Regions from separate parts of the Mus musculus genome. Here regions 1, 3 and 4 are each reported to be linked to region 2. The links are microRNA targets in miRTarBase. Many come from high-throughput screens and were not tested one by one. Region 2 holds a microRNA gene; each other region holds the end of a gene's coding sequence.

The links. Region 2 holds the annotated microRNA mmu-miR-15a-5p (UAGCAGCACAUAAUGGUUUGUG, at 2,230-2,251, opposite strand). A microRNA usually pairs through its seed, bases 2 to 8, with sites in the 3' UTR of a target mRNA and lowers its output. Matches are read on the target gene's strand: a 7mer-m8 pairs with bases 2 to 8, a 7mer-A1 pairs with bases 2 to 7 and ends in A, and an 8mer does both.
Region 1: the mRNA of Olfm3 is a reported target of mmu-miR-15a-5p. Seed matches in the 3' UTR shown: 8mer at 3,632-3,639.
Region 3: miRTarBase lists Zfp704 as a target of mmu-miR-15a-5p. Seed matches in the 3' UTR shown: 7mer-m8 at 1,389-1,395 and 7mer-A1 at 3,234-3,240.
Region 4: the mRNA of Avl9 is a reported target of mmu-miR-15a-5p. Seed matches in the 3' UTR shown: 7mer-m8 at 6,105-6,111 and 7mer-m8 at 2,086-2,092.

The regions. Positions count from the first base shown.
Region 1 is chr3:115,121,427-115,128,552 of GRCm38, reverse strand. It overlaps Olfm3 (olfactomedin 3), which reads right to left. Exons shown (of 6, transcript NM_153157.3): 6 at 2,789-6,373. The coding sequence ends at 5,696. Among named protein-coding and RNA genes, the nearest start is that of Olfm3, 44 kb to the right of the region's middle.
Region 2 is chr14:61,629,846-61,636,971 of GRCm38, forward strand. Mir15a (microRNA 15a) reads right to left here and starts at 2,265; the gene lies at 2,182-2,265. It overlaps Dleu2 (deleted in lymphocytic leukemia, 2), which reads right to left. Exons shown (of 7, transcript NR_028264.1): 3 at 5,680-5,746; 4 at 2,592-2,638. It overlaps Mir16-1 (microRNA 16-1), which reads right to left and starts at 2,127; the gene lies at 2,035-2,127.
Region 3 is chr3:9,432,276-9,439,401 of GRCm38, reverse strand. It overlaps Zfp704 (zinc finger protein 704), which reads left to right. Exons shown (of 9, transcript NM_133218.2): 9 at 504-7,126. The coding sequence ends at 615. C030034L19Rik (RIKEN cDNA C030034L19 gene) reads right to left here. Exons shown (of 4, transcript NR_160691.1): 4 at 2,169-4,693. Among named protein-coding and RNA genes, the nearest start is that of C030034L19Rik, 33 kb to the right of the region's middle.
Region 4 is chr6:56,756,431-56,763,556 of GRCm38, reverse strand. Avl9 (AVL9 cell migration associated) reads right to left here. Exons shown (of 16, transcript NM_030235.1): 16 at 1,646-6,285. The coding sequence ends at 6,170. Among named protein-coding and RNA genes, the nearest start is that of Gm10209, 34 kb to the left of the region's middle.

The DNA of each region.
Region 1 (7,126 bases), not on the chromosome of region 2:
AAAAGGACATGCATGATATGTACTCATTAATAAGTGGATATTAGACAAAAACAAAGTAAAACAACAACAACAAAACAGATATAAGATAACATAAGATATAGTCTACAGAACTCAAATGGGACACCATACTGAAAGACCCAAGTCAGGATGCCTCAGTCCCACTTGGGAGGGAGAAGAAAGAAATCACAAGGGGGAAGGGAAGGAACTGGGAGAGAAGGGGGACAGGTGTGTGTGGCGGGGGAGAGGGAAACATGATCTGGTGTTGTGTGAGGGGAAAGGATTGAAGTCCTGAGGGCCAGCAGAAAGAATGAAAACAGTCAACTTTGAAAAGTAGGATGTTTAGGGGACCCTCCAGAATGTACAGAGACATGGGAGGTGAGAGACTCTCAGGACTCAAAGGGAGGGACCTTAGATGACATGCCCTACAGTGGGTAGAGGGAACTTGAAAAGCCCACCTCCAGCAGAAAGACAGGGTATCCATTAAAGGATGGGGTTCCCATCCCACAAGTCAAAACTCATAATTGTTTCTGTCTGAAAGAAGTGCAGGAATGGAAATGGAGAACCTGAGGAAAGAAGGTCTAGAAACAGGCCCAAAGTAGGATCCAGCTCAAGGGGAGGCCCCAAGGCCTGACAAGATTACTGAGGATATGGAGCGCTCACTAAAAGGGACCTATCTTGGCTGTCCTTCAAAAGACCCAAGAAGCATCTGAAAGAGTCAGATGCAGAAATTTGTACCCAACCAATGGACAGAAGCTGCTAATCCCCATGGTTGAATTAGGGAAAGCTGGAAGAAGCTGAGGAGGAGGGCAACCCTGTAGGAGGACCAGCAGTCTCAATTAACCTGGACCCCTGAGATCTCTCAGACACTGGACCACCCACAAGACAACATACAGCAGCTGATATGAGGCCCCCAACACATATACAGCAGGGGACTGCTGAGTCTGAGTTTAATCAGAGAAGATGCACCTAACCCTCAAGAAACTGCAGACCTAGGGAGTTTAGAGTTCTGGTGGGGTGGGGGGTGGGAAAATACTTCTGGAGCCAGGGGCACAGGGAGGTGGTAGTGATTGTGGATCAGTAGGAGGGTGAACCAGGAGGGGAATAAAATTTGGAGTGTAAATAAATAAAAAAAGGAATATAAAAAAATTACAGTTCTCTAGAAAAATAATATAAAGGTTATAATGACTTTTTTTTTCTAGAATCTGACTTTAAAATAATCATGTGTCTATAAATGTGTGTTTATGTGCATTTGAGTTCAGGTTCCCATGGATGCCAAAGATGCTAGATTGTTTGAAGCTAGCTCTAGGTTTTGTGAGTTGTGAAACTTTATACATAGAACTAGGTTCTTTGGAAAAGCAGTAAGTGCTTTTAACTGTTGATCCATCTCTAGTCGCTAAACATTTATATTTTCAAGTATATTTTAAACCATTGAAAAGGTCATAGTTTATTCAATCCCAAATATTCTCTGTAGACCATGTTAATGAGAATATATTGGCTCACTATTTTGTGGTAAATTAAGTAGAATTCAATAAAACAAAAACATAACATGATCATGATTTCAGTAAAGATACAGTTTATTGAATTAAAAATAAGTGGTTTTTATTTTTCTCTTCCTTCCTTCCCCCTCCCTCCCTCCCTCCCTCCCCCTCCCTCTCCCCCTGCCCCTCTCTTTCTTTCTATCTTCCTTCCTTCCTTCCTTCCTTCCTTCCTTCCTTCCTTCCTTCCTTCCTTCCTTCCTATGCTGAGACAGGGTCACACTATATCGTTCTGGCTGTCCTAGAATTCACTATGTAGACGTAGACCAGGGAAGGCTCAAATCAGAGATCTTCCTGTCTCTGCCTCCTGAGTACTAAGATTAAAGGTATGTGTCAATTCACTTGGCTGAATCTGTGTTTCTTATGTTACCATTTATAGCTATAAGAGATCAAAAATTGAGTTTCATAGTATCTGTACTTAATTCATGTGCCCCATTTGTGGTCCTACCTAAAATAATTTACTATATTGCATTTTTTTAACTTAATTTTATTTGTAATTCATTTTTTACACTCCATATTCCCTTCCCCACCCCTACCCATCCACCCTCCAACTTCTCCACAACCATACCTTCTCCCTACCCCACCTCATCTCCAATTGGATGCCCCCACCACCCACCCCACCTTACTTCTAAACTCCCTGGGGCCTCCAGTCTCTTATGGGTTACATGCTTCATCACTGAATGACCACAGACCTGGAAGTCCTCTACTGTGTGTGTGTTAGGGACCTCATATCAGCTTGTGTATGCTGTCTGTTTGGTGGGCCAATGTTTGAAAGACTGTGGGGGTCCAAATTAATTAAGACTGCTGGTTCTCCTACAGAATTGCCCTTCTCAGCTTCTTTCAGCCTTCCCTAATTTAACAACCTGGGTCAGCTGCTATATAGCATTTCTTATGGTCTATGTTTGAGATGATGGAGAAGTTGACATTAACACTTAGTGTTGTTTGATAATGTCATAGAAACTCAATTTGTAGGTGTGATAAAGGATATGATTATACTTCTTTAGCAACATGACATTTTTGATTCTTCTTTTTAAAGTATCTTATTTCTGTAAGACTTGGCCTTTTAAAACTGCAATGGCTATATTTTTCATAGTTGCTTTAACTTGAAGATATATTTTTTATTTTTCTCCCAAATGTATTCTTATATAAAATTTACAAAACAAAAAGTTGGTGATCTGAGAACTAAGAGTTAGTGATGTCTTAAAATCAAAAGTTTTCTTTTAGAAAATTCAAACTTCAGAACTAGTATATGTAAAATTCATTTACAAAGGAGTATTTTTATAATAAAAATATTACTTTTTATAATAAAACTTTATTTTCATGGTAATACATTTTTAATGTTATATGGTTATATTTCAGTAGCAATCACTCTGATTGTAAAAGTTCTACTCAGAAATTTGGCAGTGACTTTCAAACATGAAGAGATGGCTGTGTTTTTCTAATTGTAATAAACATCAATAAGAAGTTAATATATTTCTGAAGTTTTCATCACTGAGAGTGCTGTCAATTATAAAGAAATGAAACTGCAATGAAGGTAGCAATCTGGGCGTCTAGATTTATGATAATGCATGACTAATCACTCACTCTCTGTGCATACACAGTGTTTGTTCTTTCTTTCTCTTTTATTTCTACAAAATGTTAATGCACTGGAAGATTGCCATTTTCTGAACCTGTAGATTTAAGTTTAGATACAAGTAATAAGTCTTGTGACTTAAGTTCCACAAAAATGAATTACACACCAACACAACCCAACCGCAAGCATACTATTTGAATGACATGGAAGTATTTTAATGATCTGATTAATCTAGAAAATACCAGTTACATAGTTTACTTAGGATGGTGGTTTTCTGAGAATAGACTTCTGCACTCCTTAGATTCTATGGATGATTTTAAGATACTCATTATTTTCCTCATAAAATTACTTTATTTGCTGGAAATTAAAAAGGAAACAGTGATTAAATTCTTATTTATTTCAGGCACAAAACTGAACATAATTTATTAAGGAAAATGCTCATAAACTGTTAGTGTTTAATGCAAGTCATATTTTTAAAGCTCATGTTACCCCACTTCTAGTGACAATAAAATCTTAGCTTCTCTAGCAGCACATACACTATAAATAGATAGGGCAATGAAACCATACATATAAAACAACAGGGCTCTGTACAAGGCGCACACCTCACAAAAAAGCCATGATCATCCATATTTTGAATGTATGTGATACCACATAGCATGTCTTAAAAACAAGAAGTGTTCCTATTAGAGTTTGCCTACCTAAAGATTGATTCATTTCTAAAACTGACATGATTTTTTAACCTTATACAAATTGTTATACGAAGTATGAACTGCTTGCTTTTGTGATATGTGTAGTATGACAAATGAATCTTCTAAATTTTCTAACTCTCACTTGTAGCCTAGAGCTTACATGAACTTTTGGTAAGAGAAGAAAACATCATTATAAAAAGATGCAGTGTTCCCATTAGATCATGCTTAACTTTTGTTGACAAAAAAACAAAACAAAACAAAATAAGATCAACAACAACAAAACCCAAAAAACAAAATACCTGCTCATTCATTCTTGAATTTCAAGATTATAGTAACTAGATTCTCCAGTTTGATAGGATGGTAGTTGAGAATGACCCTTCACTTGTAGAACTTAAAATGAAATACTCTAAATATCAGTGTCTTTTTATAGAGTGCTGTGTCTGCATTATCATCTGCTTATTTTAAAATTGTGGTATTTTGTATGCATATGAGACAAAAATTGCAATTTAAGTTATGTCATTCATTTTAGAATATATTTTTAAAAATTTAGTTTCCATAAAGGTGCCTTAGTGGAATTCTTTTTAACATAGGGAAATTACTTCTAACCTCATTGACATGTTCATAAGTTGTTGATTATAATTTCTGTGGAATTAGTAACACAAATGTTATCAAAGTTTTTACTTTCAGTTTCTTTAATTTTGCGCACACAGTGAGACAAGTTCTCAGGGGATTGAATTCTCATTTAATTTTCTGAATTGGTTATTTATACACTTGAAACAAAAATAACTCCCAATTCTTTTCATAGTTTTCTTTTATACAAGCTTTCCAATAACTCTCCAGGGTTTATAATTTTAATATAGAAAGCATTGAATAAATTTCCTCTTTTTAATAATCTTCATGTGCTTCATATTGTATAAGAAATGACATTTTTGAAAGTTGTATGTAAGATATGTTAAAATATTAATATATATGTATGCTACTAATACTAATAATGATAAGTGAATAGAATCATATTGAGTATAACACAGTGACACATTTTACAAAGAATTATATGAATTCTTTTAAGAAACAGGGTATCACTACATTGAATTGGTGTTCAAATCCAGAGCCAATGGTAGAGTGCTGGATAAAACAAAGGTTGTATATATATTATCTAATACTTTTTTAAAAAATTTTTGTAGTGCTTATGAGAAGGGGCAAGCCAAGATGATCTTTCTCAACCAGACTTGAGAACTGACTTGAGTAATTACTGAGATTAAATTTTAGTGCACTTTATAAAAAATATGACTTTCACAGAAGTGAAGGAATACAATATATGATGGTGGTTACACTGGTAGAAATATGTATTGCCAGGAAAATGTGAGCAAGAGATTTAGAAATGACTGCACAGCACCGCATCAGAGAATATGGTAAGAGTAACATGATTGATAGTGTTTCCCATATAAATAAAATCTTTAAATCTTCTTGTAGAAATAAATGGGGGGAAAGTGCTTTTCTTTTACCTTAATTTCTATGAAAATATTTCTTGATGTAGACCAAGAGACAGTAAAAATAATGACAGTTAAAAAGAGAAGACATTCATGCATTTAAGCCACCGTTAATCTGATTCTAATACAAGGCAGATCATTAATCTTTTGCAAAACTATGATTCTGGCCACTTAAACTCTTTTTAGTGCTTTTCATGAGAAGGGCATGATAGGCCCTGTAAATTTGGGATTTAAGATGTATTTCCAACACACTAACTTAGACAAACACTTTTTGAAACTCCAAATATACAATAAAATCCTTTGCTTTGGAGAAATGATGACAAGCCAATCAAGGAGAAAAAAAGATAAACACAGGGTCCTATAAAGTTTATCATAAATGACAGAGTAGAGAGATGAAAACATGACATTTGCCTATGTGTCATCTTCAGTCTTAATGATGTGGAACAGGGTAACATTGAACAGGACCTGGTGGCCATTGTTCCAGGCATAAAGAGCTCTATCTCTTGCATTGTAGTCAAGCATAGATATGTGAAAGTATTGGTTATGGAAGGGGATGTCCGTGTACTCATATGTGGAAGTTTTTGTGGAATAGGAATAATACACTTTGGCTCCTGTTAAGTGGGAATTGGTGACGTACAGAGTCCCACAGATCATGAAGGATTCCCCTGCACTTCTCTTGGGATAGCCAGTGCTCCAGCTTTTCATCACCTCCAAGGTATCTTGATTAAGCTGGCTGATGACAATATTGCCTGCATTCTGGTTAGTTGCATATACAGCCCACAGACCAATTTCATCAGCCATTAGGTCAATGTCAGAGAATCCACCCCATGTATAGGGGTACACATTGTGAAAACCAGCGTACTCCAGGCTTCTTTGGGCTAGCACTCTCCCTAAGTCAAAGCTGTACTTGATGATGATATTACTCTGATATTTGTTAAAATAGAGAGAGCCATTGTAGACAACATGGTTAGTTCCTGCCCACTTGAAAGGGAGGTTGTATGTCCTTGATTCAGCTCCACTCACAAAGTCTGCAATGGACTTGTATTCACGAACTATTTTATTGTTGGTATAACTGTCCATATACCAGACCTGAAAATAAAGAAGAAGAAGAGAGAAAGAGAAACAAATGGAATGATTAAGTCCTGGACATGTATAAAAAATTCAAAACAAAGACAGTTACAGTCAAAGTTTCAAGTATTGGATGTCAAATGTTCTTACTGGTTAGCCATTGAAATATCATAGCATATGGGCCTTTGTAAGGGTATTTGTAAGGAGGCAAATGGCCCAATATGTAAGGATGCTATCTGCCAAGAATGACAAGACGAGTTGCATCTTTAGAAACTGAATGATTGAAATCAAGAATCACAGAGTCCTCTGACCTCCATCTGTTTGTGAATATACAAACATGCACAAATATATCTCTTAGAAAGTGACATTTGTTTGGAAAAGAAATCACTGAATTTACTACCTTCAAATTAATTTGTTTTGTTTTATTTTCTGTCTAGTTCACACCTATTGCTGAGTATACCCAGCATATATTTCAAAGAACATCTTCTGATGTAGCCATATGATCAATAATAACTGTAAGGTATTATCTTTGTCCTGAACCTTGCCTTACAAAAATGTCTATTTTATTTTACATGCCCAACTTATGTTTACGTTCTAGTTGCCACAACCTTCAACTAACAGTTACTCACTTAATTATGTTGTAGGCTTTAGTAAAAACCAATGTATTAATTTAATAGCAAATCTTAATAGGACTATAAAGAATTTTAATTCATAATGAATTCATTAGTAAGTATAAATATATCGGTTCCTATTATATTTAATTCCATAATTACA
Region 2 (7,126 bases):
TTCAAAATTCCCAGCAACCACATGATGGCTCACAACCATCAATATAGCTACAGTGTACTCATACACAGAAAAAATGCTCCAAAAACGGAGTCTATAGTTAATTAAATCAACTTGTTAAAACTTACTTAATTTTACCTTTAAATTAGAATTGAGTAGTGGTTCTTTTGAGGACAATTCCTTAAAAAATAACTGAAATACTTTTAGGATCTCCACAACACACGGTAGAATTAATTATGAACCTTTAATCTGAAAAGGTAAGAGACTCCTTGTAAAAAGTAATGACAGAGTTAGAGGACATTATTGTGAGATAATGTGTTTTCTTGAACATTTTAAAATAATGACGTAAAACATTTAAAATAAAGCACATGGGATAGTTAAAAGAACATTTCCGGGCTGGTGAGATGGCTCAGTGGGTAAGAGCACCCGACTGCTCTTCCGAAGGTCCGGAGTTCAATTCCCAGCAACCACATGGTGGCTCACAACCATCCGTAACGAGATCTGACTCCCTCTTCTAGAATGTCTGAAGACAGCTACAGTGTACTTACATATAATCAATAAATAAATCTTTAAAAAAAAAAAAAAAAAAAAAGAACATTTCCTTTGAAATAATTAAAATATTCTGAATATATTTATAAAATTAATGACTGTTAGCTTTAATCTGAAGTTAAATATTAAGGCACAGATGAGATGTCTTTCATACTTTTGACTTATAAAAATCTCCTGTTAAACATTTTAGTGAAAAATAAGAAAAACAGTAATTATTAAGTTAGAAGATATAGGATTTATACCCTAATATGTCATAGGTTGCAAATTAAATTTCAGATTGTTTCCTCAGTTAACCAATAAAAAGGTCAGCTATTCTAAGGATTCTTCTAAATTTAAGTTTAAAAATTCAACGTACACATTTTAGTGTTATTCTCCTTCATTTAAAATGAAATATTTAGGCACATTATACTCAAGATTATGTTATAATCTGTAGCATTTCAAACTTTATCTGTATCTAAAGAAAACTTCAAATCAAGAGAAAAGTATTTTTCTATTATAAGTAATAATATGAGTTTAAATTCATGTACAATTTGGTACTTCCTAAACTCTTTCAAATAAACTTTTATATGGAAATGCTGGAAAGAGAGCTCGAGCCTTGGTGGTACTGGGTATATTCTGTACCACTGTAGCTCTCAAGAAACTCTGGAAAGGTGTTCAAGACTTAAAAATACTTGTTATATTATTAGTCAGTGCTCCATCTGTGGATCCAACCAACCACACATTCAAAACATTTGGGTGGCCAGGCATTGGGGCCTACAGTTTTAAACAAAGAATTTGGGAGGCGGAGGCAAGAGGATCTCAGTGAGTTTCATGGCAGCCTGGTCTACATGGTGAGACCCAGGCTCAAAAGACCAAACCAAAAAACTTATTTCTTGGACAAAAACTGCATTAGTACTGAATTGTACAGTTTTTTTCTCATCATTAAGAGAATAACTTGAATAATACAACTATCCATGTTAACATCCCACTGCACTACACATTAAAAACAATGTAGAGATAAGTTTAAATAAGTATAAGGGAGGATATGCACTGGTCACGAGCAGACATTTTATACAGGAGATCCAAGCATTTACAAATCTGGGTATCTAGAAGTCCTATAATCAGTTCCTCACACAGAAGTCATTATGTTTTGTTTGTTTTTAAAAGACAGATCCTTACATAGGTCTTAGACTTGCTTTATGGCCAAGGATGATGTTAAGCCTCTAATTCTCTTTTTTCCACTTCCTCAGATCTAGGATTACAAGTGTACCTGGTATGCAGTGGTAAGGCTAAAACCCATGGCCTTGTGCATGCTAGCAAGAAGCACTTGGCCAACTGAGCTGCATTACCATCCCACAATTATATAGTATTTTAACAGACACAATATGTAGAGCGTTGTTACTAACATCATTACAGAATCATACCAAACATAAAATCACTAATGCAATTAGAAAAACCGTGTAAACACACAAGTAACATCAATACACATTGAATTACAGTTGTAGAGTATTGCCAACCTTACTTCAGCAGCACAGTCAATACTGGAGGTAATTTCAGAATCTTAACGCCAATATTTACGTGCTGCTAAGGCACCGCTGACATTGCTATCATAGGAGCTATGAATAAAAAGACAGGTACTCTCTTCAGAAGATCAGGTCCTTGTATTTTGAGGCAGCACAGTATGGCCTGCACCTTTTCAACATCCACAAACCATTATGTGCTGCTACTTTACTCCAAGGGTTGGTTTTGAAAACTCCTAGCACCTCAATAGTAATTTACAGAAAAGGCTTTTTAGGAAAAAGTAGAACACATAAAATCTATGTTTGAAAAAAATCTAACACTGGTATGTGCATAATTTTATAGGCTTTCAGCAGAATAAAAAGTATTTCCATATCATAAGTTTAATAAAAGCGTACAGAAAACTTAATACAGTGCTGTAATTTATTGTAGTCATGAAACGAGAAAAGCAAGTCATTTTCCCATACCAACTTAAGAACCTCATTTATTAAACTAACAACTTTTGAATGTGCTTAACACATGAAATAGCTACAAAAGTTGGTTTTTACCTTATTAAGAGCAGCACATCTTTCAAAGCCAAATCCATAGGACAAAGCTTCATGTTAAAGGAAACATGTAAGAACAAACATGTAAGAGCTCAGTTTCAAGAAATTTATACTAGCAAAATATTTAGAAGACATACACATGAAACATATTCCCCAAAAATATATAACCCCCAATCTACACATGAACACAAGATTTATCTCAATATTGGAATAGTTATTGTGAGTTCAGTGTCATTTATTATTACCCAGAACATCATCTTAGGATAACAGGTCTATTTGGTTTCCTAAAAGGATATATCAGAAATCCTGTAGCTCAAGCCTAAGTAACCATTTGTGTGTTTCCCAGTTAAAAAGGCTAGTCCTTTAAAGGAGTATCATTTTATACCACAGGACTTTGACTTAGCTGAAACAAAATTTTTACTACGTTAAGTTCCAACTTCATTTTATGTGTGTGTGAATATCTAGGTTTTCTTACACTATTAAGAAGACTCTTTTCTGTTTAGTGGGGGACTTAGCCATCCCTTCACAAAGAACTGTTCTTATTATTCCAGTTCATACCAGATTTTCCATTCAAACTAGATTACTGTGTAGCAAATGTTTTCTAGTGGGTCAATGCCATTTCTCCATTCCCGTTCATGTTGGGTCATTTGAAATATCAAAACGTCTTTAAATCTTCAAACCTTTGCTTTCAAGTGTGCCAGCTTAAAAAAAAAAAGTCTGAAAATAAAGATAAAAGCTGCTAAAAGTGATTTTGTCCTTTATCTTTATACAATGATTATAATTTCAAATTCAGTGGTTTTTTGAGAGAGGTTTTGAGGACAGTGGCTGCTGTCCTGCAATTCATTCTATAGACCAGGCTGGACTGGAACTCAGAGATCTATCTGCCTGGTTTCCCTCCTGCATGCTAGGATTAAAGGCGTGCACCATCATGCCCCGTTCCAAATTCAGTGGTTTATATTCTGGCCTAAGGACCAAAATAATTTTTCTTTGTTGGGTTTTTACATAGTTCAACTTTTTACTAATGTTCTTAAAAGGAAAAAAAAGCCATTCTGAAAAGAAAACAAAATGTTTTGCTTAAGAAGGTAACTTGAGTGTACATAGGAATACATGGCAATCTTTAAATACCTGAAATTAATATTATTCGTATAAGAAAACAGAATTTTACAACAATTTAAGAAGATAGATCAAACCAAATTGTCCTATTTCCCCCTTCAACTCTATTTGTTTCCATTAATATTTTTCTTTAGAAACATTTACTTTTTACCTTATAAAACTTCTAATATTAATTCATCTTGTTTCCATAAAGCTTAGCACTTCACAAACATTTATAGGCATGTTGCCCAAGCTATATCATCATCTTGACTGCATCAGAATAATGGGATACTTTTTGAATTTAATAATAAGCAACCAGTAATTTGTTGGAGCACAATGACAGAATACAGAATCTGAGGTCCGAACCCTGACACTGTCCTTTGAGTGTCTCCCATGGCTGTTATTCTAGTACACTGACCCTTTCTGGTTCCCTATCTGCAAATGAACCATTAACATACATATAAGCCTTTGTAGGACGCTTCTGAACCATAGCCATCTTATGAAGTTGTCTAAGAACATGGAGAAAACACTACCAGGTTTAAGTTCTGATGACAGAGCAACAATTCTCAGGGCACAAAAAATCTACTTAAATAGCAAAGCTAAAGGCATGAAATACTGCAACAAATTTGGGAAGTTAAAAGCTGGGTATGTTAATATCTTTGATGTGGCAATAATGCCACTATAAAATCTTTGGAACTGTTTCTTCTCTAAACATTTTAAATTCCTAGTTCTAAAATTTGATATGTGAAAAGTGACAGAATCATTTGTAGGGCATACTACTAAATAGTTAAAAATTCCATTTCCATGTGATTTTTTTCTAGGAAAATGAGCTTATGTAACATATTTGAAAAAGAAATTGTTCTAACAACAACAACAACAACAACAACAACAACAACAACAACAACAACATACCCAAATTTTATTTAATGGCTATGAAAGGAAAACTAAACTGATTGTTTAGGCCAAGTCAGGTATGGTGATCACTGACAACTGAATATGTATTTCAATTTGCTCATTTTTTACATGGAAATTTTTGAAATTCAAGTTGCAAGGCTGCAGAGTTACTCAGTGGTTAAGAGCATTTTGTTGCTGTAAAAGACCCAGGTTCAGTTCCCAGCACCCACATGGAGCCTAAGCACTTCCTCCAGCACGCACTGCAGACATACACGAAGGCAGAACACTCATACTTTAAAAAGCTCAAATTTCAGAACAGAAGATGACAACAATAATTCACACTAAATGTTCTGAGGATATTATCCCAGTGCATTTATGCTTAAAAGTGAAAAAAAAAATCACATTGTATCAGATTGTTATATTTGCAAATTTAAATTCCTACCCAAACCAGGTGGGTGGCTAAGTGTTGTGAGTGGAACATGCCTATAATTTTGGCACTCTAGAGATGGAGGTAGAAGGATTACTATACAGATTCAAGGCTAGGCAGATAAGCTGTCTCAGACAAAGAAAATGAATATACACCCCACCAAAATTCAGAACCTGGTATAACTGTTTAAATTTTACCGTCCCCCAACTGCCCCCTGACCATACAAGGGATCATATAAGCAGGGCTGTCCTGAATTTCACTCAATTGTTACTGATGACCTTGGTCTCCATCTCTCCTGCATATCAGGTCCATACACACTTACACATATATACATGCAGTTAAACTCACAAATTAAATAAAGAAATGTATAAGCCTTAAAAAAAATCTTTGCTTATTTGTAAACTTTAAAGAAAGGATTTAATATTTTGACTTCAGACTCGGAGATAGCAGGGACTTTCTATAAAATACTTTCCACACTAGTAAAGTTTCCTGAGGCAATGAAATCATTCTTGTTCTAAATTAATATCAAACATGAATAGAGTGTTAATGGGCAATTTAAGTTATTCAAGAATAAATAGAAAAATTATCAGATATATGGAAATATGATACCAAACACAAGTCTTCATTGCAGTGGTGATGGGTCACTGAGGAAGGAAGGAGCTAGAAACTAATACTTACAAAATAATAATTGTTGGGCTATTTAGAGGGCCATTTTAGTAATATCTTCATTTTAACATTGTTAAACCTAGAAAAAAAAGAGTAAAGACTTTAAAATTTGATCTTATTACATAAGCAACATTTTCAATTGATGTCAGCAATCACTGCTTTCTGATTCCTATACATTAAAAAAATTATATTTAGTTTATGAGACTATGTCACAACATATAAAGGGGGGAGTCTACTGTAACTTCAACTGCACTACAAAGTTACCAAGTGCTCCACAAAGGACAACATTTCCCAACATCTGAAAATACATTAAAAAAAAAAAAAGCTACTTCTAGTTAGAAATTAACATTAAAAAAAAAGTATTACACACACACACACACACACACACACACATTCATACATATTTTTATCCATGAGGATAAATAACTCTGAAGGGGGTCAAAAAATATGGAAATAAAACATCTAGAACATACCAGAAGAAAATATTGCTAAGAGGTGTCTGAGGCCAAAAATAAGTGAAACTAGCACTGCTGCAATTGTTTCCATGGCTGACTTTTACTTGTAAGAGAAAGGGTTTAGAGCCTTGCACCCTGGCAGAAATGTTTCACAGCCCATCCTGTAAAACAACCTTGAACTACCCCAGAGACTTCAGTCAGTTAGTGTTTTGTTTCTGAGGGATGTGATTAGACACTGCACTTGCACTTTTGAGGCAGCTTTGCTAATAGCCCAGACTGGCACTGAAATGTGGGGTACTCTTGCCTTATTTATCTTCCTAGGTGCTAGGATTACTGGAATGTGCCAGCATACCTACATACAAGTACTTATTACAAGATATAGCATAGAAAGAATACTCTAATTTTTTATACCTTTACCAGAGTATTCCAAGTGTGTATTTTATTGCAAAATACTTTCTCACAAAGTATCAACATTTCTTTTTATTTCAAAATACACTGATCCCCTTTCCCAATAATGCCTATATAAATCTCTATCCCAAAGCCAACTCTACTGAATGTTAAAAAAAATTTCCAATTACACATAAAGATCCTTATGTGCCAAGCTCTGATTTGATCTCATTGGGCTCTTACAATGTAACTAAAACCTTGATATGATATTTATGTCCTATATGTTTTTATACTATAAGTACAAATATAACTGTTACACATATACACTTTCTTGAAAGGTTGTTTTCTATTTGCTGAATAGTTATTCAGAATTTATACAACTCTTGTTTTAATGGCTATGTAGTTTATGAGACTATGTCACAACATATAAAGAGTCTACTGTAACTTCAACTGCACTACAAAGTCACCAAGTGCTCCACAAAGGACAAATTTTCCCAACATCTGAAAATACATTTTAAAAAAAAAAGCTACTTCTAGTTAAAAATTAACATTTTTTAAAGTGTTGAGTTTTATTTTTATTTTCCTTTTAGTCTTCACATCTCTTTTGTGTTTTTGTG
Region 3 (7,126 bases), not on the chromosome of region 2:
TTTTGTAGTAGGCAGGGTACTAGGGGGTGGAGACAGAAGATGCATATGGTGCATATGTGGGGTTTGTCTTGGTGGGGTGTCTCACTCACCCACTGCAGTCAAGCTGGTCCAAGAGCTTGCAGGGATCTCTGTCAGCATCTCTCACCTTGCTCTATAAACACTGGGATTACAGGCAATTGCATGCACGCGCTATCACATCAAGCTCCATATAGGTTCCAAATGTCCTCCTCGTGCTTGGTGAGCAGGGCTGCCCCAGGTCCCCCTCCACAGTCCCCACCTCTTGTGTCTACCCCTTACGCTTACACCATGGCCAAGGAAACATTTCCATGAATGGGATTTAGAAACAGTGTAATCACAGTGGCCAGAGAAGTCCCCAGCCCTACGGGAAGTCCTACTCCATGCTGGGCTTTTTGTCTTCTGTTCCCCCTTATTCTTTGCAACTCTCCCCAGAAGGCCGCCCCGTTCCTGTCCCTAAGGCTGTCTGTGTGCCGTCTTTCTTACAGGAAGCCCAGAGGAGAAGGCAAAAAGTGCCGCAAGGTTTATGGGATGGAAAACAGGGACATGTGGTGCACCGCCTGCCGCTGGAAGAAGGCCTGCCAGCGGTTCATTGACTGAGCCATTCCTGCCTCTCCTTCCAAAGGAAGCTACTCAAGGCCCAGGGAAGGCCCTGCCTGGAATCCCAGGAATATAATTCCTTGGTGGAATTAAAGCAAAACAAAAACAAAAACAAAAACAAAAACACAGCAAAAAATCAGCACTGCACTGCTCTGAGAACCAGGCGAGAGCGCCAAGGAGGACCTTCCTTCGAAGGAAAAGCCCGCTTCCTTAGCTCTCAGTCTGGTCTTAAAGCTGGTCTTCTGTAGCAGCTTAGCCAACCAGGCCCATTTCACCTAGAGAGAAGGCACATTTTGATAAGCTTTCTGAACTCTGGCATTTTCGAGGGTTTTTGACACTGAAAACAATATGCCCATAAGCTACACAATATACCCATAAGCTACACAGTCTGAGGTAGCATTTGTATAAAGGATAGTACCTACCTTGTGAATAGGCATCTCTCTGTTTTTCCGTGCGACTCCTTGGATCAGTCTGATCATGATGTATTTCAAAAAAGAGTTTTTCTATGTCTGTTTTGTTTTCAAGAAGGACCCCAAGTGGAACCATTGTAAAGATGTTAGCTTGGAGGCCCTGAGTAACTTACATAAGGCCAAAAGTGATTGACAGTGAGTGCGAGTCACCTCAGCCATCACCTGAGGTCAGGACACCAAGAGGCACTGCAGAAAGCATCTGAAAATCGTCCTTGGATCCCATGTGAGTGGTGGCACCACTAAGTCTCTGCCTGCCATGGCTCAGACGAGAGCTGGCGCTAGTAGCAATCTGGTAAACCTTGATGCTGCTTTCAGGGATATCACACACACTGCAGCCTGGATAGTGTGTCCTGCTTGGTTCTGCCAAGACCATAGCCAGGACTCTGGGTTAGCATTCTGCTCTCCAACCCCGCCCAGGTAGAAAACTCCAGACTGGCCTGCAGGTTTGCTTCCAGCAGAGCATAGCTGTGGGAAAGATCCACTAGGGCATCAAGCCAACTTCCATTGTGAGTGCACTTTTCTAGATGGCGAGGGGATGGCTAGGGGATGAGTTAGTGGACTCGGTGACGTATATGGATAATGGAACGCTAAACTTTGTTGTCTTATAGGAATATTGAAACTATGAATTAAGAATTTGCTCAGAAACTAACTTACAGGATGCCCAAAGGCAGATGCATCTTGGTATAGGACTCTCTCCATTGAGTAGGGCCAAGGCTTAGGCTGGGTTCCAGCCATTGGAACCTGATGTACTTGGCTGTTGGAAGGGTGGAGCTTGGAGCAGCTATCAAGCCTTGTAAGGACTTATTCTGTCTGCCCTGCTTAAGAGAGGAGTGTCCTGTACCTATGCATGGTAAGAGCACCTTATAGGAGCCACTAGGTAGGGATGGGGAACATGGTGTCAGCAATATGAATGTTAAATGAACTTGCACAGAGGAAAACTTAATATATGTTTAAAGATTGTACATAGTGCTTTTTTACAGAGTAGAGAAGGCATGTAGGCGTCTGAGACACCTCTTTGTATATAAGGGGTGTATATGGAGGCTCTACAGCGGAACACCCTTAACTGGTGCGTTCATGTATTTTGGCAATTTTATTTTTTAAATTCATGTGGCTTTTTTACCACGGAAATCAAGGAAAACGGGAAAGAGATGCTGATCTTTTCCTTTGGATACTTAAAAGGAAAACAAAACACTTACTTCAAGAGAAAAGAGAAAGCTTTCTCTGATTTCCCTGTAGGTTGATAACCAACATCAGCTATACCACCTGTTCCAGATGCTTTTACCTGCAACCAGGAAACAACTTTTTGCTTTTAAAGTCCAGAGCTAGATTTCTTTCCCCTGGGCATGTCCTCTCCTTATCTCCTGTAGCCTCACTCCCTGAAATGGTGTTCTAGCTGCTCCAAGAGGCCCTGAGCAACGTGGAGATTGAGACATCAACTGTTTGGTCAAGTTCACCATGTGCTTAAATAACAGATGGATCCTAGGCTAGAGGGTTTTCTCCTCAGCAAAGCTCCCTTAATTTTTAAAATCTCAGATGAAGACTTTAATCAAAACATTAAAGTGATGTGAAATTCAATCCACCTTCTCTTGAAGAACTTGGAGGTGAAGGAATGCTGTCGTCTGTGTGAGAGAGAGCAGTCCTTAGGTGCTGAGCTGTCGCCCCCAGAAACACAGCCTAAGGGCAGGTCTGAGCCCGCTTAGCTGCATATTGTCAGCACAATCGTGACACCAAATGCACCTGACCTGAGTCCCTCGTTTTCTCAGAAACCTCCATCGTGCCAGCTCGTGTGCATCCCCAGCCCACCTAGGGCCCTCATCTCCAGGCCAGCCTTAGGCACTGAACATTTCCTTATCTGGCTTCCAAGGTGCAGGCAAATCCTGAGTGCAGCTCTGGACACATGCCCATTCCCTGTGTGGAAGGGTGTAATGCCAGGGACCGGAAGCTCTGAATTGCAACATACAGTTAACTGATTATATGAGTTACTTTTTGTGTGAGTTACATTTCTTAAGTAGTTATTTTGTTATTTGGGGACCCAAACAAAGTGCCAAATGAAGCCTGACTTTTCATTTCATGCCATGTCCATGAAACTAAGTTCTTTTTGTGTCTTCATTTTGTGGAGAAACAGAAAGCATGAGAGTTGGTGAGCTGGCTGCTAGCCTGAGGCTCTGTGCACCCCAGGGCTTCCAGCCCTGTCTGTCAAAGGAGCAGTGATGTAATGAATTCTTGTCCATGGAAATGTCTAGTTCTTCTTCTTCCATGATGAAAAAGGTTTCTCATTTCTCCCGGAAAAAGCATGTCACAGTGACTAGCAGGACATTCTCCAGCCAGCTAGGAAGCAATGTGTGCAACAGGCAATAGTTTCCAGCCTTAGCCTTCCTGGAATATGGACACTTATTTTGTGAAAATCTGTGAGATAACGTGGAGAAACCCCCAGGTAGCATATGTGTCAAGGGGGCAGTGCGGGAGACCTGCACACCCCTATCTTCTGCTCATGTTCTTGGGCTGCTCAGCTAGGACTCCTCCATGTCTGCTGTAGATGTCTGACACAAGACAGGAGCTGCTTCGGCCAGGAACTATCCATCAGGCTCACCTGCCACCTTATGTCTGGGAAGTTAGGTTCTCTGGATTAGCAAAAGCTAGCGCCAGGAAGAAGACAGTGGGTTTCCAAACCAGAGTGGACCTCTCGTGCACGTTGATAGTACCATGTCCAGGAGGCTCCCTTATGAACCTCCCATGACCAAGCTATAAAGGACGATCATCTCTAGAGAAAAGCATTACTGTTGAGCTCTCCAAAAATTCCTTCAGACTTCATGTATGTTGGAAAAATTATTTGAAGCCAAATTGTTCCCCATTGCAATTGAAGATGACAAGATTTGGAGTCTGCCATCTCTGGTATCCAAGAACAAGTACGTCACACTTTGCCAGAAGCCCTGGGCTTAAAGTGAGTAGTGAGCCCCTATAAAAGAGTCTGTTTCATCTCTCACTTCAGCTGCCCTGCAAGACAAAGGTGGCATTCACCGGAGAAGGTTCTGAGAAAAGAGGTGAGAACTGTACATACAAGAATCTGTTGAGCATAGCAGCAGAATACTGTAAATACTACTCATTTCCTCAGGGAGACAAGGATGCTGTGGGAAGAGATCTGGAGAACCCCGAGACCAGGAGGATTTTTATCTCCTCAAGTCTTTTCTTGTCAGAACAAGTTTTTCTTTATGTAACTCTCCGTGTCATTTCAAAACAAATCCGTGTTCAGCTGGACAGGCAGACGACTTCCATGAGGTGTGGCAGAGGGACTGTCTGTTCGTAGCTGCCCTAAAGCTGATTGAGGTTTGAGCCACAGGTGAAGAGCCTGCTGGGCATCCATAGACATGGTGAGGCTTCCTCTGAATGTAATTGGGAACAAAAAGCCTTGCTGTTCCTTGTTGTAGTTCCTCAGTCTGGATGCTGTTTATTATACACAGCATCCTCTAAGGGAGGGAAAGCTGGCCACGACGTGTGGTTTGCTTTAGTGGCATGTTCAGGAGCACACTGCCATGGACTCTGGTGGACAAGGTGCTGTCTTTGCTCTTGTCCGTAGGATTTCCACCACCCACATCAGCTGTGGCATTGACCTGTGTGAATATGTGCGGATGAGTGGAGCCAGCATGGCCCGTCAGTATGACAGCGTTGGGAGCGTGGGTCATTTTGAAGGGCATGTTAGGCATATGAGTCAACTGACAATTCTATTTCTGTAAGAAAGAAACCTACCAGCAGCACACAGGTGCCACCAATCCTCCCACGTGGAGGGATTTCTCCATGTTACGATTTCATCCTGTATTTTCTGCATTGTAAGTAGCCACAGGGGAAGTTAGTAAATAAGATGAGGTTAGCACTTTTAGGTACCAGTTGTCCTGAGTAACTGTACTCCAACAGAGCAAGGACATATGAAATGTACTCAAGACTTGCTTCTGGTGACAGACTTGGAAAAGGCCCATTTCCAATGACACACATGCTTTAAAGAGTGTACCTATCACAGGACCAGGAATCAAAACGGGAATTTTATCTCCTGTCCTGTTTTGTAAGTAGCTTTTTTTTCCTAAGACAATCTCATGTTTTATAACTTGTTGTGTGTGTCTGAGAATCATAATGGTAATGTGTTATGGTAAATGTAATCTTAAATACAATAATAATTACAACTTAAATTTCCAAATGAAAGAAATACACTGCTTAGGCTTCTGCAAGAGACATGACACTTTTATAATAAGCATTAGTACTTCTCAAGTTTAACAGAACTGGAAATATTTTACAAGATACCGCGTTTTGTAATCACAGAGAACATGAACACTTTGTGGGAAATGACCTTGGTTTTATACATTGTAGCTTATTTTTTAAAATGCAGTATTTTAACCGGCAGGAAGTGTAGATATGGCACACAGTTCCTGTCCCTCAATCCAAGGGCTATGCCTCTTTTAAGCAAGTGTTTTGATGCGTATCTTTTCAATTAACCCTCTGAGCAAGGGTAGAAATGGAGACCAGATAGCAAGGTCATTTGCAAGAGAATCAATGAAGCAGCAACTATTCCCTCATGACCAGTGTGTATTCAAAGCATCTTTGTGGGGGCAGGGGGCATGTCACATGAAGATTCACCTTCTATATTTTAAACCCAAGAAAAGATGCTAGCACATAGGCTTCTAGGCCAAGGAAGAAATATCCCTTTAGTGTGGTATGAGTTTTCTTATGAGTTTTCACCTATCAGAACTACATGCCTGCATTTTATAAGCAAGCGTCATTTGGTGGCACTGTCTAAAACTGTAGTATATATGCCCAAAGAACCTTTAAACGGTCAGCAGTGTTTGTGATTTTGTTGTTCTTACCACCGCCAACTGAGAAACTTCCTCATCAGGACCGTTTGACTTTTGTTTGTTTTTCACTATGGAAAACTCACAGGCACAGAAGGTTGTGAGCAGAAAAATGACAGAATTCCCATGGGACGTAAGAAATGGGAGCCACATACACAGTGTGAGCACTGCCAAGGCTATTTTAAGCTGTCCCACATCAACAAGCCCACTCGCTGTTAAGAAAACATCTTCCCAAGAGTTTATTGACTCAAAAAGCTAGGCCAGTTAGCCACGTATGCGACAGTTTCAGAGTAGAAGCTGAGGTGGGGCAGCTGTGTACCTGCCAGGTAACTGTACCAGTTACTGAGAGGCCATTCTAGCTTTTCTAGCCGTATCTTCCATGTACGGCTGACAGTCTGTTAGACGGGAACTATAAAGGCATTGTATGAGGGAACAGGGGGTTGTGCAGCCTTGCACCCAGTGCCTGAGTGGGCTGGCTTGCAGCTAGCTCGCCATTGCCATCCCCTAGGATAGTACCACTGATGGATGGCATTCGGGTGCCCAGCAGGTTTTCACTGCCACATGGTTTTGAACTATGTGCGACTTACTCCACCTGTGCGTGGAGGCTTCCTTCCAGAGACTGTGTGCGCATTTAGACACTTTAGAACAGCTGGAAAAGGACTGCAGATGTTCAGGGCGTGTCAGGACCAACAACGGTGTTGGACTAGACAACTGACATCTACCGAACAGGAAGGACCCTCACTCAGCTTTTGACAATCAGGCCAGGTTGCCAGATCCAAACTGGAGACATGGCACCACCCGACAATTCAGTGTTGACCACTAACATACGTTCTCAGCCAATCCTGCAGACCAAGAAAAGCTGTGTGGGGGCAGAGGCATCCTGTGGCCACAGTATCAGCTATGGCAAACTTCCACACTTGTGAGCTAACAGGCCCAGATTCCTCCATGAGCATCTTAGACTCATGTGCTGCCACGATCTGAACAGCAGACATTTCAAAAGAGGGAAGACACTATTCCTCCCTAGAGGATATCCTCATGGAAGACAAAAATAGAAATGTCATCTCTTCAGCTTAGCATTGCTCCTGATCAGAATGCACTAAGTTGTCACCCGGCTCTTGCAAGAGCTGCCTCCTGCCATACCCAGGCCACACCCCAAAGTACTGAATAGCTGTAACCCTGATACTGTGTCTGCTACCGTGACCACTG
Region 4 (7,126 bases), not on the chromosome of region 2:
CTTGTGGACATGGCATTGTGAACACCCACCCCTCAATATGCACATGATTAAAAATAATTAAAAGAAAAAAATAACTACTTTTGAGGCATTGTGAAGAATGAATCACGGGAAATATTTGTAAAACCCAAAATGATAAACAGTATGCAGAACACATACACCCATGTGTGCTATAGTTGAATGATCATGTTTTGTTGTGGCAGTATCTCTGGCAGTTGTGTTAGCACTTCTCACTACCTTTCCAATGTTGTGGATTCTTGAATGAAAGACACACATTTTTAATATTTAATATTTTTAATATGCCCCTAAGCAGATCAAGTGTGGGCCATTCCCACACTTCGATGCTAACGTCTCCCCTCCAATACTCTTGAATTATTACTTACTAAAATCTAAATTCTATCTTTGTTACCCTAGACTCAAAAGGGAAGAGGAATGGGGATGCTCTTACATGTCTGTATGCTCTCACTTCTTCAGCTCTCAAGCCTGATCTTTCAGATTCCCCGTCATAGCAATTCTAAAACCTTCTTTCCATGGTTCCGTTGCCTGGGGTTATAGGACTATACACCTACACCTTTGTCTCCCTACTCAGCCATTGGCCACAGGCAACTTTATTTACCAATTAGAGCCAACTAGGGGCAGGGACCCTCAGCCTCTTTCAGGCAGATGTTAGGCTTCCCTGTGACTTTAGCATTAGCATTTTCCCCGTGACTTAGCATTAGAACCAATTTACAACAATTCACCATTTTTCATCTATTAAAAAGGCCTTTTCTCTCTCACATACATTGAACAGTTATAACAGTTATGTAAATTATAAGGTAAGATATACACTAACAACATCCAGTCCATCAATTTTTTCAATTTAGTACATTATTTTTTTAAGGCATAAAAGTCTTTTATTATTATTAATGCATTAAAGTTAAATATACTCAGAGTACTAAAAAGCCAGAACTCGTTTTGATGAAGTTTATTACAGACAATAATTATTTTGACACATGTGTGCGTCTGTGTGTGTGTGTGGTTGGAAAGTTTAAAAGAAATTCACAATCTGAATAATTTACTACAATATTATAACATCTATTCTATCTTAAGGAGTTTATAATTTTCTACCTGAATGGTTTTAATTTTAACTTGTATTGTCATCTGAAAAAATATCCTTTTAAATCTAGATCACCTTCCTTAGTGCTAAACAACTTAAAGGCCACACTCACACAACCCCAGGAAAGGGACATTTATCTTCTTATTCCATAAACAAGTTGTAATGGAGCCATGGTGCACAGCACACATACCTGGAATCCTCAGTGTATTATTTTGAACCTTACCAGTCCAAGTGGAGAAATGGATGGCGGGAGTGCAGTTTTCTCCTTCCCTGGCCCTGTCCATGAGTGATTACATGACCAATATCCTTAGTACTTGCGCAGCATTCCTCAGAGTTCCCCAGACGCTACATAAAGCTCTTTCCGAAGAGGTCATAGCTAGAAAGCGTATGGTGATAAGCAGTATCAGGAGGAAGCTAAACTGGATGTGTAGTCCTTCAGCTCACCCATGCGCTGCTTTCTTGACAAATGAAGAATGCACTGTTGCCCAGTTGTGAAGGCCAGAGATCACACAGACAACACGCAGTTAAGTCTAGGAGATCAATAGCCCGTGTGCAAGAGAAACAGGATAATTTTATTATTAGGTTTTCCTTAAAATAAATGTACAATAGAAGCTCTACAGTTCAGTATGACTAGACATGATTTATAACTTGAATATGTTTTTAAAAAACAAATGACAACAGAAATGAACCGGCACAAACTACAAAGCCACTGGAGGAAAGAGAAGCTATAGCTTGACTTCCTTAAAAACTGTTTTCCAATCATTAAGTACCTCCACCAAGTCATTAATCACATGCTTTCTAAATTTAGAAAGGAATGATCAAGTGGACTGAAACATGTAATGCACAATCTTGGTTTCCCAGCTATAAAATAACAGTATCTCAACAGAATAAAATACGCTTTAGGCAGTTCTCTGAAAACTTCAATGACCTTTTCTGGCTCAGTACCTGACTTGAAATGTTCAAATGTTTATATTGCACAAAAAAGAAACTTCAGCAGCATACTATGTGCATGGGAAGCTGATGAAAAATACGATTGGAAACCCCTTAAATTGCGTTCCATATACATGATTTAAATATATAGTTTTCTGCATCTTTAATTAGTATAAGTAAAAAGGTAAATTTCTGAACAGCACAGAAATACAAATGTATTTAGAGTTTTACAAAATATATCCAACCCCTTAGACATGCACAATCTTTTCATTTTGGAGTGTTATAGTATACGAGGCAGCCAGTTTCTTCTTCATAATGTAGGTAGGAAGTCATTTTTATGGAGTTTTTTGTACGAAAAAATAAAAACAAGATCCTTTTTTCTCTAAAAAAAAGTTTTGTGGAATGTTGGAAATTACGGAAAAAGAATTCCAAGCTAACGAAGTCAGAAGACTTGGATGAGAAAACCGGCACATTAGGTTATGAGGAATGATGGTCATCTTCAAGTGATTCAAGGAGCATTCTGTCATAGTTAAAGGCTACCAGAAGATGGTGTGGAAAGCCATGAATGCTGGGCCATTTCTCTTTAAAGAACCACAGTGTGCAAATGTTTCAGGGATCCTAAGCAATGCCCCAACACATGAACAGGCTGGTGCAGCTAGCACCACAGGCAGGAGGCAGCAGCTTCTGTCCTAACAGGCTGCCCTCTGTGGAGGCTGCAGCAGACACTGCCTGTGGGTATAAATCAGGATGCTGGCCGCAGGACTTCTAAATTTATCAACATGGAAGGAAGAGAGCCACTGGCTGTTAACTCCCTCAAAATTTTCTCTATAAAATATACAGCTTCAATAATACCTGCCTACCAGCTAAAGAATGTTATAGCTTCACTTAGAAATGTCAATAGCAGATTACAATTCTAACTTGTCTAAACTCATGCCTTTAGTAGGTTAAATACTGATGTCAAAATACTCTCCATTCAGACTTAAGTGCCCTGTTTCTCAGCCATGTAATAGCTTCTCATTTGTGTTTTCCTAATTTGCTTTCCTTGAATTTCTAAAGAAAGCTATTCTAAAAATCAGTTAACTGCTTAGTACAAAATGTGAAAAGCAGAAAGACTGAGGAAGTCCTGTCATGCACTCTACTTTGCTGCCCAAGAAAGCCAACTGTTTCTTACCGCAAAAGGAGAGAACTGTTTTCAGGCTTGAGAGCTAGTGAAGGACTTGGGGGTGGACAATTCATGTTGGTTATAAATCAGATATACATATACAATTGCTCTACATCCTGTTACACGCAGCTTCAGAATTTCTACTCTACTCCAGACTCACAGCTTGTATTCTCTTCCTTATCTGTGCCTTTGTCGTTACACTACGATCAAAACTACCTCAACAGCAGTGCAGCTACTGTCAATGTCTGCCTGCTGGAAACCTGAAAAATGCTGGTTGACTTTCGCTCCTGCAGGTCTAGTTACAAACACTCAGTTCTTAAGACACAAGAGCACTGGCAATCACTGGAGAAAGCATGGTTTCCAATAGCCACATCTCCTGGCAATAGTCAAAAGGCCAGGTGTTGACTAAAGGACTACCATGCCAGCACTGGAGGGAGACTACTCTTCCGAGTTAGTCTAGCTCACTGGAGCCTAAAATACAGACTTCACGTGTCTGGGCTCACTGGCTGTATCTCCTGTTCTCCATGACACAGGCTGCTGCATTAGGTGATGCCCCCAGCAACAAAATGGCCTATGGCCCTTGAAAAGCCAACATTTCCAAGAACCTGAAGGAAGTAGGAGTATAGTCTTTTGACCATTCCAAGATGTTTTATATTCCAAGGTAAGTTATTTTAGGCTGACCAGTTAAGTAACCATTTTAAGAGTTAAGTTTTTAACTACATTAAGAGAAGGTTCAATTAAAATATACACTTAAGCCTGGCACAGTAGTGTGCTCCTATAATCCCAGTTGAGACAAGAGGGAGGAAGTTGGCAATTTAGAGACCTGTGTGGCAAGACTGTGAGACCATACACAGGGGAACCATACACACTCAAATGGGGAGTGTGAAACAAAACCAGTTACATTTTGTCCCCAAGTATATTTCAAAGTCAGTGCTGCATTGCTTTTGTTTAAGTAATAGCAGGCAATTCGGCAAGTCATATAAACCTGGTACAAACTAAAGAATGAATCATTACCTTATTAGCTAACCCAGGCAGGGCTCCTAGCAATGTCAACTACCATGGATATATCAGCATGCTGCAGCCACATGAAATGGTATCTAACAAGGAATTCTTAATAGTCTCAGCACAACATTAATGTGCCTTTCACAGTTTTGTGTGGCTTTAGTTTCTTCTCTTTTCAAATATTTACTGGCCAAAGAAAATTAATGGTTTTCTCCCATTAACCAATTAATTTATTGTCACTGGATTCTCTCAACTTATTATGCCCAACTTAAAGTAGTTCATATTTTTGTGGTTTTGTGTGAAAATCCAACTTGCAAAATTTTAAAAATATTGAGTTATGCCCTATCTTCTTTTTATAGTCCTTAGGGAACCTCCTAGAGGATAAATGAAAGATAATCAATGCCTCTTACTTTCCCAATGCTTTTTTAATCATATGTAGATATAATGGTTATTCTACATGCCTTCTGTTACTGAAAAGGTAGACTGTTTCCTGTAAGTACTCCCTGAGAATGCCCATTCAGGATCCCCTGAAAGGCAAATGACAGCTATACATGACCAACATGAATTAAATGAGAGGCTGGCAAATTCATGCCTGTGGTAACATGAAGCCAACTGTACTGATTTACCAAACAACTGACTCCTGGCATGGGTGCGAATTCATTTTCTTGCTTCTTACTGTTCTTTCATTTGAGGTGTCTTTGTGTGTGTGAATATAAGAATTTGCACGACACATTGCCTACATGGAGGTCAGAGGACAATTTTCAAGAGTTGGTTCTTCCTTTCCACATTGTTTTGAGGAACTCTGACTCTGTTCCCGCCTCATTGTAGGGACACTGGGATTACAGATGTGGCTTTTTATGTGGGTTCCAGGGATCTGGACTCAGGTTGTCATGCTTGCACAGTAAACGCTTTTCCTCACTAAATCATCTCCTTGGCCAACTTCTTGCTTTTCTAAATGTGAACTAAGTCATGGTTTATATTTAACCTTCATTGGTCACTTTGTTTTTCTTTAGAAGGTAGCAGACCTGACTAAAGATTTCCAGTCAGGGAAGTAGGGAGGTCAAGTGCCTTTGAAAAGCTCAATGCAGAACAAGACTAAGAGAAGGCCTGTGGATCTATCCAGATCCAACAGACAACCATTCACAAGAAACAAGGCACATAATTTTGATAACAAAGTGCTGATTAAGACAGCAACATAACTGGAGTTGATCGAGCTAGCATGTGGGTTGTCAAAGTACTGCCCTCCAGACATGCGGCAGCCCTTCAGTGCGGCTCAGTCACCACTGCTGCTTCCTTGCACAGCACTGCCAATAGGAGAAGCACAGGGGCATCTTTGCTGCTTCACACCAACTGTGACAAGAAGACATTCATAAAAAATGACATCTTATCCTCAGCTTTCCGTTCTTACTTTCACAGCTCTGGGAAGAAGTGAGCTGGTAAGTATGTTTAAGTGGGTAGAAGGTTTCCTCCAACCCTCCCATAGAAGTCCACCCTAGAGAACTCAGACTGGAATGCATAGTCCCTACCCATTACAAATACATTTTAGGGCTAACTTCAGAGATAGTGAAATAGTAATATAACTTAATTTTAGTCAATATAAATTACAATGGCCATCTAAATATTTAAACAGCAAAATAGAACAAAATATACATATGTAAAAATTCTTCTAAGTAAACAAATGTACAGTCTCAGAACTTAAAATTCACTACAACGTTCATTGTGTACATTAATTAGGCTCAGAATGAAGTAAAAGTAGTCGATTTAACCCCCAACCTGGAAAGCTATTCCGCTACGGTTGTAATTTCATCCATTCAGCATACTGCAACTTTCATTTAGATAGAGTGCAACCGTCCATGTAAACAGTTTATCATCTTGGTCCCTGGGTATGGACCTTTGGATAGAAGAAGAAACCCTGGGAGCAGCAGACGGGGAGGGAGCATTACACCGCAGAAAACCAAGCAGCTTCTGCTGCTCTGCTGGACTCAGGGCTTCCCATTGGGTGGCTCAGGAAGACTCTGAGGGGTGGATGTGGTGAAAGTAGATAGCCATGAAGACATAGCTGTCTTTGCACTGGAAAAAGCTCCTCCAACTGATTGGCCTGTGTGAAAAAGAAAAACAAAAGGAAAAAATGTATGAAATTAATAAAAGGTTTAAGTTTTCTGCATGCTGGGAATAGAACGTAGGCAGGTCCTTTAATATTGAACCACATGTCCAGCCTGTACCTAATATTTCGTTACACAATGAAAACCCAACAAACATGAATAAAGTTAACTCACTGAAACACAGTAAAATAATGTAGTTACTAAGACACCACGTTCATTTTTAGTTCAAGCCGGGCGTGGTGGCGCACGCCTTTGATCCCAGCACTCGGGAGGCAGAGGCAGGCGGATTTTTGAGTTCGAGGCCAACCTGGTCTACAAAGTGAGTTCCAGGTCAGCCAGGGTTATACAGAGAAACCCTGTCTCAAATAACCAAAAAAAAAAAAAATTTTTTTTTAGTTCAAAAGACTATCTTTCCATTTACACGTCTTAAAGAAAACTGAGTAATGTTTCACCATAGGAGCCCACACTAGGTACTTTATGGGGGCTGATAACATAATTTTATAGCTACAGCACTAGCAACTCTGACTAACATCAGAATTATCTGGAGAGCTTAAATAGCTGAATATACAACTGGAGAGATGCCTCAGGAATTAGGATTGTTTACTGTTCTTTCAGGACCAAGTTCAGTTCCTAGCACCCATATCAAGAGACTCAAAACTGCCTTTAACTCTAGCTCCAGGGGACCCAATGCTTCTGGCCCAATGCACGGGTACCCACACATTCATGCAGACAGAACAAACACACATGTTCTCTGAACCTAATTACATTAGAAGAATAGTACTATACTAGAAGAGAGCCTTGTAGGTCTCATGTTGTTTTTAAATAATAGTATCTTTG